Linked DNA regions of Ovis aries. The protein of the gene in region 1 purifies or fractionates together with the protein of each later gene. This does not show direct contact. Links are inferred from orthologs where the notes say so. Each region holds a gene or a part of one and is shown on either strand. Other genes may lie near its edges.

What was found. Proteins that work in one complex are often made in the same cells at the same time.
Region 2: the proteins of NEK2 (region 1) and ANAPC7 purify together in Homo sapiens (affinity purification with mass spectrometry; 3 studies listed by BioGRID and IntAct, with this or other methods). This does not show direct contact. The link is inferred for Ovis aries from reciprocal best matches to the Homo sapiens genes NEK2 and ANAPC7.

What each region holds. Positions count from the first base shown.
Region 1 is NC_056065.1:71,252,455-71,256,518, forward strand, and holds the start of NEK2 (serine/threonine-protein kinase Nek2), read left to right. Parts: upstream 1-1,264; 5' UTR 1,265-1,355; coding exon 1,356-1,451; intron 1,452-2,653; coding exon 2,654-2,871; intron 2,872-3,152; coding exon 3,153-3,393; intron 3,394-4,064. UniProt on the Homo sapiens protein: Protein kinase which is involved in the control of centrosome separation and bipolar spindle formation in mitotic cells and chromatin condensation in meiotic cells.
Region 2 is NC_056070.1:54,337,691-54,341,650, reverse strand, and holds the start of ANAPC7 (anaphase-promoting complex subunit 7), read left to right. Parts: upstream 1-1,160; 5' UTR 1,161-1,233; coding exon 1,234-1,334; intron 1,335-3,370; exon of another isoform or gene 3,371-3,400; intron 3,401-3,960. UniProt on the Homo sapiens protein: Component of the anaphase promoting complex/cyclosome (APC/C), a cell cycle-regulated E3 ubiquitin ligase that controls progression through mitosis and the G1 phase of the cell cycle.

The DNA of each region.
Region 1 (4,064 bases):
CACCCCTTAGATAGAAGGCTCCAGGTGCAGTATCCCAGGTAAAAGTGGGACAATTCCAGCTGGCAGGGTGAGTTGAAAATGTTGGTTTTTGTGCACACTCCAAGAGGCTGCATTCAACAAAGTGTTTCAATTATTTATGTGCCTGGCACCTCAGATAATCTATTCAGAGTGCAAAGGTAGTCTTTTCTAACAACAACAACAAATTTTAAGTCTTAAAGGTAAACCTGACTGTCTCTGCCTTACATTGTTGTTTAGTCACTAAGCTGTGTCCAACTCCTTTGTGACCCCACGGACTGTAGCCCACCAGGCCCCTCTGTCCCTAAGATTTCCCAGACAAGAATATTGTGGGCTGCCAGTTCCTTCTCCAGGGGATCTTCCCCACCCAGGGATCAAACCCGCATCTCCTGCATTGGCAGGCACATTGTTTTACCACCGAGCTACCAGGTAAGCCCATCTCTATCTTATAGAACCACCATATTCTTCTGGGTATTTCAAAACATCAAGGACTTCCATATTCCATTTTCCACCTAGAGATTTTGTACACGTCTGGTGTTCAAAAATATACTCTCTCTAGGACGGCTGCACCCTAAAGTCATGTGAAAACTTTAAATCATTACTATAAATATCCACTGTTTTTGCATTGAGTCCTCGCTTTTGGACCTAAAGCAAATACTGTGACCTTTCTACCCTTCCGTTTCTTCATGGGAAATAACGCTAATTCCTGTATTACAAACCAGACAATACATGTAAAGTGCTTGGCACAATCCCTCAGCACTGTCGGCCTCACTCGCGCACCCTTTACAGAGGGCCGGTACTTTTCACCTCTGCACTCAGCTTTTCTCCCAGGATTTAGTATATGACCCCGCCCGGGTTCAGGGGGCGGGAATCTGAGAGCGGAGGGCGCGTGCCGGAGAGTGAGAGGTCACAGTGCAAAGGTCAGAAGGCAGTCGGTTGAGGCTGTGCGCTAATAACTGAAGAAAGATCTCTGGACTTAGGTTGCCTCGGCAACCTCAGCGGAGGAGGCACAAGGTGGCGGGGACCGCCCACTCGCTGCAGCTTTCGGTCCCCAGCCCACCTTGGGCTTTAGCTCCGCCCCTTTCTCCCTGGAGGTTGGCAGCGGAAGTCGACACAGACGCCGACGCGGTTGCCTAGCGATACCTTTTTCCCAAGATGCCCAGCGTGTTGTGTTCTTCTTAACCAATTAGAGAGGCGAAGCGGCCTCACCGCGAGCCAATAGGCTGCGAGGTCGGGGCCCGCGACGGTTAAACCGGGGCTGCAGATCAGGGCGGCCGAGCGTCGGGGCTGGAGCTCTGAGGAGACTATACGGCCCGCAGACGTCCTGCGCGGGCCCCGCCATGCCGACTCGGGTGGAGGACTACGAGGTGCTGTACACCATTGGCACCGGCTCCTACGGCCGCTGCCAGAAGATCCGCAGGAAGAGCGACGGCAAGGTGAGCGCGGGCCTGGTCCCTGCCTCCGCCCCCAGGCCGCCCAGAGGAAGCAGGGAGCCTGGCGGTGTGCATCTGAAAAGCAGGGTGCTCAGAAGAGCCAGCCTTCTCCCCCAGATCTGTGTCTGTCCTGGGTCTCTCGAGGGATGGGAAGCCGCATCCTTTTTTTTTTTTTTTTTTAAATTTGTGAATCTGTGCCTTAATTCTTTGTTGTTGTTGTTCTGTCGCTCAGTCGTGTCCGACTCTACAACCTTGTGGACTGCAGCACGCCAGGCTTCCCTGTCTTTCACCAGCTCCCGGAGTTTGCCCAAGTTCATGTCCATTGAGTCGGTGATGCCTTCCAACCATCTCGTCCTCTGTCGTCCTCTTCTCCTCCTGCCCTCAGTCTTTCCCAGCATCAGAGTCTTTTCCAGTGTCAGCTCTTATCACGTGGCCAAAGTAAAACTAATAAAATGTGCCAAGTAGAATGTATGTATATATATATGTATATTTCTTCTTCTCCTGTCTTTTTTCCATTCTCTTCCATTTTCTTCCTTTTTTCTGCTTTGACCTGCCATGGGCCTTCTGTTGGTGACTGGTAGCTGACTCCTGAGCTGTTTTTAGAGAAATGTAATTCTCTATCATAACCATCAGAACCTAGAACTTTTATGTCTTGTAGTCAGAATTCATTTAGTTCAGTTCAGTTCAGTCGCTCAGTCGTGTCCGACTCTTTGCGACTCCATGAATCGCAGCTAGCCAGGCCTCCCTGTCCATCACCAACTCATTATTCCCATTGTTAGATTCATATCTCCCAAGGTGTGTGGGTAGACCCACACAGAAAAATAATGGAAAGGAAGTTAGCTCAGATGGAAGGGTCTTTACTAAGTTCTCTTACCCTAGAAATTTTGACTAGTTGGAATGGTTGGGGACTTCAATCGCCTTTGCTCCAGCTTTGATTAGAGTACCTTCTGCCAACCTCCCACTAGGCATTGAGGGCAGAGGGTTGGGGGCGGCCTAACCTCCCTCGTCACCCTCTGTTGCATCATTCACTGCTTAAAAATTAGGGGAAGGTTATGGAAATAAACTCAGGGGTCCTCAGCTCATTAAACTAAATTAGATAAATAGTGACTGTATGATCTGTTTACTAGATAAGTAACTTTTTTTTTTAATTTGAAAAATTTGGAGTTATAATGAGTTCATTTATACCTTGGAAATTTTTATTTCAGATATTAGTTTGGAAAGAACTTGACTATGGCTCCATGACAGAAACTGAGAAACAAATGCTTGTTTCTGAAGTGAATTTGCTTCGGGAGCTGAAACATCCAAACATTGTCCGCTACTATGATAGAATTATTGACCGGACCAACACGACCCTGTACATTGTCATGGAATGCTGCGAAGGAGGAGACCTGGCTGGTGTGATTTCAAAGGGAACCAAGGAAAGGTAAGATAAATTCATCTCTTAAATGGGCCTAGTTTTGTTTCTGGAAACATCCTATATTAGGATCAGGGACAAAGTACTTAGTAATGGGGAAGAGTCGTCTTGTGTTTGTTCAGTGGGTCCACAGTACTTTAGAAAATCCCTGGTAAGTCAACACTTGAATTTCATATCCAAATAATTTATTTCCCTATGTGTATACTTAGAAAACTAGATAATTCACATCCTGTCATCTTTGTAATGGTTTCATTCAGCAGATACATGCTACATAACTGCTTTGATTTCAGACAATACTTGGATGAAGAGTTTGTTCTTCGTGTGATGGCTCAGTTGACTCTGGCCCTAAAGGAATGTCACAGACGAAGTGATGGCGGCCACACTGTGCTGCATCGGGATCTGAAACCAGCCAATGTCTTTCTGGATGGCAAGCAGAACGTTAAGCTTGGAGACTTTGGGCTAGCTAGAATATTAAACCATGATACAAGTTTTGCGAAAACATTTGTTGGCACACCTTATTACATGTCTCCTGTAAGTATTTCAAAATGTATATACTTTTAAAACATCTTAATGCTAAGCATTCAAGCAAGGAAATTTATTTCTTTGTTTAGTAATATCTAATAGCCAAGAATTAATAATACTGTTTTATTTTAAATTGATAATTTTCAAATGGACCGTCAGACCACTAAAAGATTATTATTATTTTTTGTTTTGATGTGGACCATTTTTAAAGTCTTTATTGAATGTGTTACAGTATTGCTTCTGTTGTTTATGCTTTGTTTTTTTGGCCACAAGGCATGTGGGATCTTAGCTCCCCTACCAGGGAGCAAACCTGCACTCCCTGCATTGGAAGGCGAAGTCTTAACCACTGGACCCCCAGGGAAGTCCCACCACCAGACCGCTAAACTTCTATATCAGCAATGCAAGTCAGACTTTCACTGAATGGCTGCCACGTGCTAAGCTTGGGGATCATAGAGATGAAATAGGTTTTGTCTCTGCCCTTAAGTACAGTACTTCCAAAGTGCCATAGGTCCTGGACACCAGCTTGTTCTCAGCTGGAGTGATAGTTTAAAATGCAGAGTCCTGGGCTCCAGTCCAGGGACTTAGGACCTCTGGACTGGTCTTTGCACTCAACTTTTTATCTTTTTGTCCCCTACCTTTTTATTTTGGACTCTGTATTTTAGCAGACTCCTTAGATGATT
Region 2 (3,960 bases), on another chromosome or scaffold:
GTACACATTCTGTTCTTATCAGCAGTCCTACATTTGAATAGTTATAAAATTCCTCATCAAATCCACAGTTTTTCCAGACAGGAACCCATTGTGTCCCCCTTTGCCTGGCAAAGCAATAAAGCAATGTTTTTCTCCTTCAACCCCACTCCCAACTATTTTCACTGTTTCTTTTCTGACCATTATTGTTGGTCATCTTATTTCAGGGCTATTACTGAGAATACAATAGGAGTGGTCAAGAGACTGAGAAAAGCCACAGACTAGAAAATATTTTCTGATAAAATCTGATAAAGAGGTGCTATCCAAAATACACAAAGAACCCTTCAAACTGAACAATAAGACCAGGAACACCCTGGGAATTCCCTGGAGGTCCAATGATTAGGAGTCCCTATTCTCATTGATGAAGGCCCAGTCTCAATCACTGGTCAGGAAACTAAAATCCCACAAGTTTCTTGGGGCAGCAAAAAGAAAAAAGACTAAAACCAGACAAAAGATCTATATAGATACTTCACCAAAGAAGCATATGAGAACATGCTCAGTTTCACAAATCACTAGAGAATGGCAAATTAAAATCACAATAAGATAACACTGCACTCATAGGCTAAAACTCAACCTGCTGTTGATTCACTCTGAGCTAACGACTAATTTCACAGGGTCAAAAAACGCCCTTTGGTCCCCAAAGAGCGAAGCCTGACTCCCGCAGGTACTACAGACACAACACCTGAGAGGAGGGGGCGTGGCTCTTAGAGCTCGGGCGAGACCGTTAAAGCAGTTAGGACTGCCCCTGGCGCCTGATTAAGATATTTAATTCCAACTGTTGGAGATTTTCCCTCCGCACCCTACTAGAATATTAGTTTTTATTTATGATAAATGTTAATACATTTTAATTAATTTTAAGTCTAATTTCAGTTGATCCTGAAGTGCCTTTTGTCCCCAGCCAGCTGTAAGCCTTCAGGAAAGGTTACAACTTAAAATGATGTAACTTTTGCTAAAAACAAACCAAAAAATCCCAAACTAAATTGTACCACCTCACAGGGAACTTGGCACGGAAGGAACGGAGGTTTTTTTGTCGTTGTTGTTCCTCAGGCATTTAAGTAGTTGCCTATTACTCTGGGGGCGGGGCCGCGTGTAGACCCGATGGACCCGGGTGAGGCCGCCATTTTGGACTCTTCCCCAAGGAGCTTCAGCCGGCTTTTCGCGCTGCCGCCGCCGCTATCTGCGGCCTTTCTGGGCAGAATGAATGTGATAGACCATGTGCGAGACATGGCGGCCGCGGGGCTGCATTCCAACGTGCGGCTCCTCAGCAGCTTGTTACTTACAATGAGTAATAACAACCCGTGAGTTGAGGCGGGGAGCGGCCTGGGTCTCTGGAGAAAGTGGCGCCGGTTTGGGAGCGGGGACTGTGGGGGCCTGGGCATTGGCGGGAAGGAGCGGATGCGGGCTCCCGGCTGAGGTTCCGAGGTCAGCAAGGGCCTTGTCGGGCGCAGCAGGCTTAGGAACGCAAGTTGAGTTCGCCGGGTCCCCGCGTTGTGCAGGGCGCTGGGACGCGCTCCCTGCGGGAGATGCGGCGAGCGGCTGCTTGGAGAAATGAAGGCCGAGGCTCTGAGAATGACCCTGGCTAAGATTTCCAGGAAGTTGGAAGCAGAGGGTTCGCTAAGGCACTGTCGCCGGTCAGAGCGACAGTCACATCTCTGGGCTGACTCCTCTCTTCCCGAAGAACGTTTTCTCTCGCCCAGGCTCAAAGAAGCCTTGTCCTGGCCCCTGATTAAAATACTTCGTTTTTAGTTTTAGATCCTCGTCCCACGTCTGAGGTTGATTTTTCTTTTCCCCTTGAGTGTATCAGTAGCATTTGCTTTCTCGTTCGCGCAAACACCTGAAGACGGGAGACTTCCTGGGTGGGTGGGAGTGGCGCGTTTTTAAGGACCCGCAGTGACCCTTTGACGTTTTCAGATAGTCCATAGGATTGCAAAGAGTCCGACACGAGTAAAGTGACTTAGCACACATTGCGGATGAAGCGGTGGGTTATTTCTAGCCTTGACTGCTTGCCCCTTTGCTTAAATTTTTCATTGTGTTTAAATGAAAATTTCTTCCCACGGCCTATGAAGGCAAAGAGCTCTCTCCGACTCAGTCTTACCTACTCTGCTCTCTGTATTCGCTTCCCTGGTTATGCTCTTCTGTTACTTGAACACCCCAAGGTCTTTCTCAGCTCAGGGCTTTTGCGTTTACCATTCTGCTTGGAGTCCAACTCAGAGCTCCCTCCTTTAGGTTTCAACTCAGATATCCTTCCTAGAGAACTCTTGTCTGGCCGTCAGAATTGTTCCTGGCCCTCAGCATTCTATCTCTTTACCCTGTTGTATATTATACATCACTTTTTGTTTGTTTGTTTGAGATATCTTTGACTTGTTAGTTTCAGATGTGCAATATGATGATTTGTTATTTGTATATACTGTGAAATGATCACCATAGTAAGTCTAGCTAACATCTAACAACCCCACATAGTTACAGAAAAATATTTTTCTTGTGATGGGAACTTTTCTATATTCTTTTTTCTGTATTCTTCTTCTTAACACCTAATGAAGTCTGTAGTGTGCCTGTTGATGTGCAAAGAAAGTGCCTGCAACCTCACAAAGTTGAAACATGGTGTTCAAGTTGACACATTTAGTAAGTGGAGAAGCCACAATGTCTGGGTTTTGGTCCTTCTGACTCTAAAGTCTCATTCTGACCCTCCATAGTCTACTGTGTCAAGTGGCATTACAATCTACTCAGTGTGGACCGGTTTGCATTTGCTCTGGAAGCTGTCTGGGCCACTTAACTGTGTTGCAGCTGTTTTTCCCTGTTTGATTTCCACTAGTGTGCTTTTAGACCTCACTATGTGAGGCCCATCATTTTACCACCATCCACTTAGTGTTGACAGTGAGGAGCCCTGGTCTCTGTCAGCCTACTTTGTTTATTCTGGAGCCTTTCACCTGGTTCTTAGTGAGTTGTCAAAGTATACAGTGTCAAAAAAAAAAAAAAGTATAGTGTCAACCATTGGGAATTTATACACTGGTCAGTCATTATTCTTGGTTTTTCAGATGTTACAGGATAATTAGAAGGAGGTTGGTCTTCTGATTAGATTTAGCCCATTCTTCTTTATATTAGGCTGAACTGGCAGTTTCCTTCCTGCTTTCAGGAGGTGTTTAAATTCTGACCGTAATCATTTCTATTTTAAAGTTTATTACTTAATCTCCAGTATATACCATTAAAAAAAAAAAAAAAGAAAGCAGTATGAAGGGGTATGCAGATAAGTGTCTGCTCCGGAGTCTTGAACTTCACCCCACCTTTTCCCTTCTCTGGAGGCAACAAATTAACAGTTTTTCATGTATCATTTCAGAAATAACTTGTGGATGCAGTAAGTAGGCATGTAAGTTACAATATATAAACATCTGAATGCTTTCTCTGAGGGAAATATTATCAAATCAACTGTTTTCTTTCAAATCTTCAGTCGCTCAGTCGTGTCCGACTCTTTTGTGACCCCATGAATTGCAGCACGCCAGGCCTCCCTGTCCATCACCAACTCCCGGAGTTCACTCAAGCTCATGTCCATCAAGTCGGTGATGCCATCCAACCGTCTCATCCTCTCTCATCCCCTTCTCCTCCTGCCTCAAATCCCTCTTAGCATCAGGGTCTTTTCCAGTGAGTCAACTCTTCGCATGAGGTGGCCAAAGTATTGGAGTTTCAGCTTCAGCATCAGTCCTTCCTATGAACACCCAGGACTGATCTCCTTAAGGATGGACTGGTTGGATCTCCTTGCAGTCCAAGGGACTCTCAAGAGTCTTCTCCAACACCACAGTTCAGAAGCCTCAGTTCTTTTGTGCTCATCTTTCTTCACAGTCCAACTCTCAAATCCATACATGACCACTGGAAAAACCATAGCCTTAACTAGAGGGACCTTTGTTGGCAAAGTAATGTCTCTGCTATTCA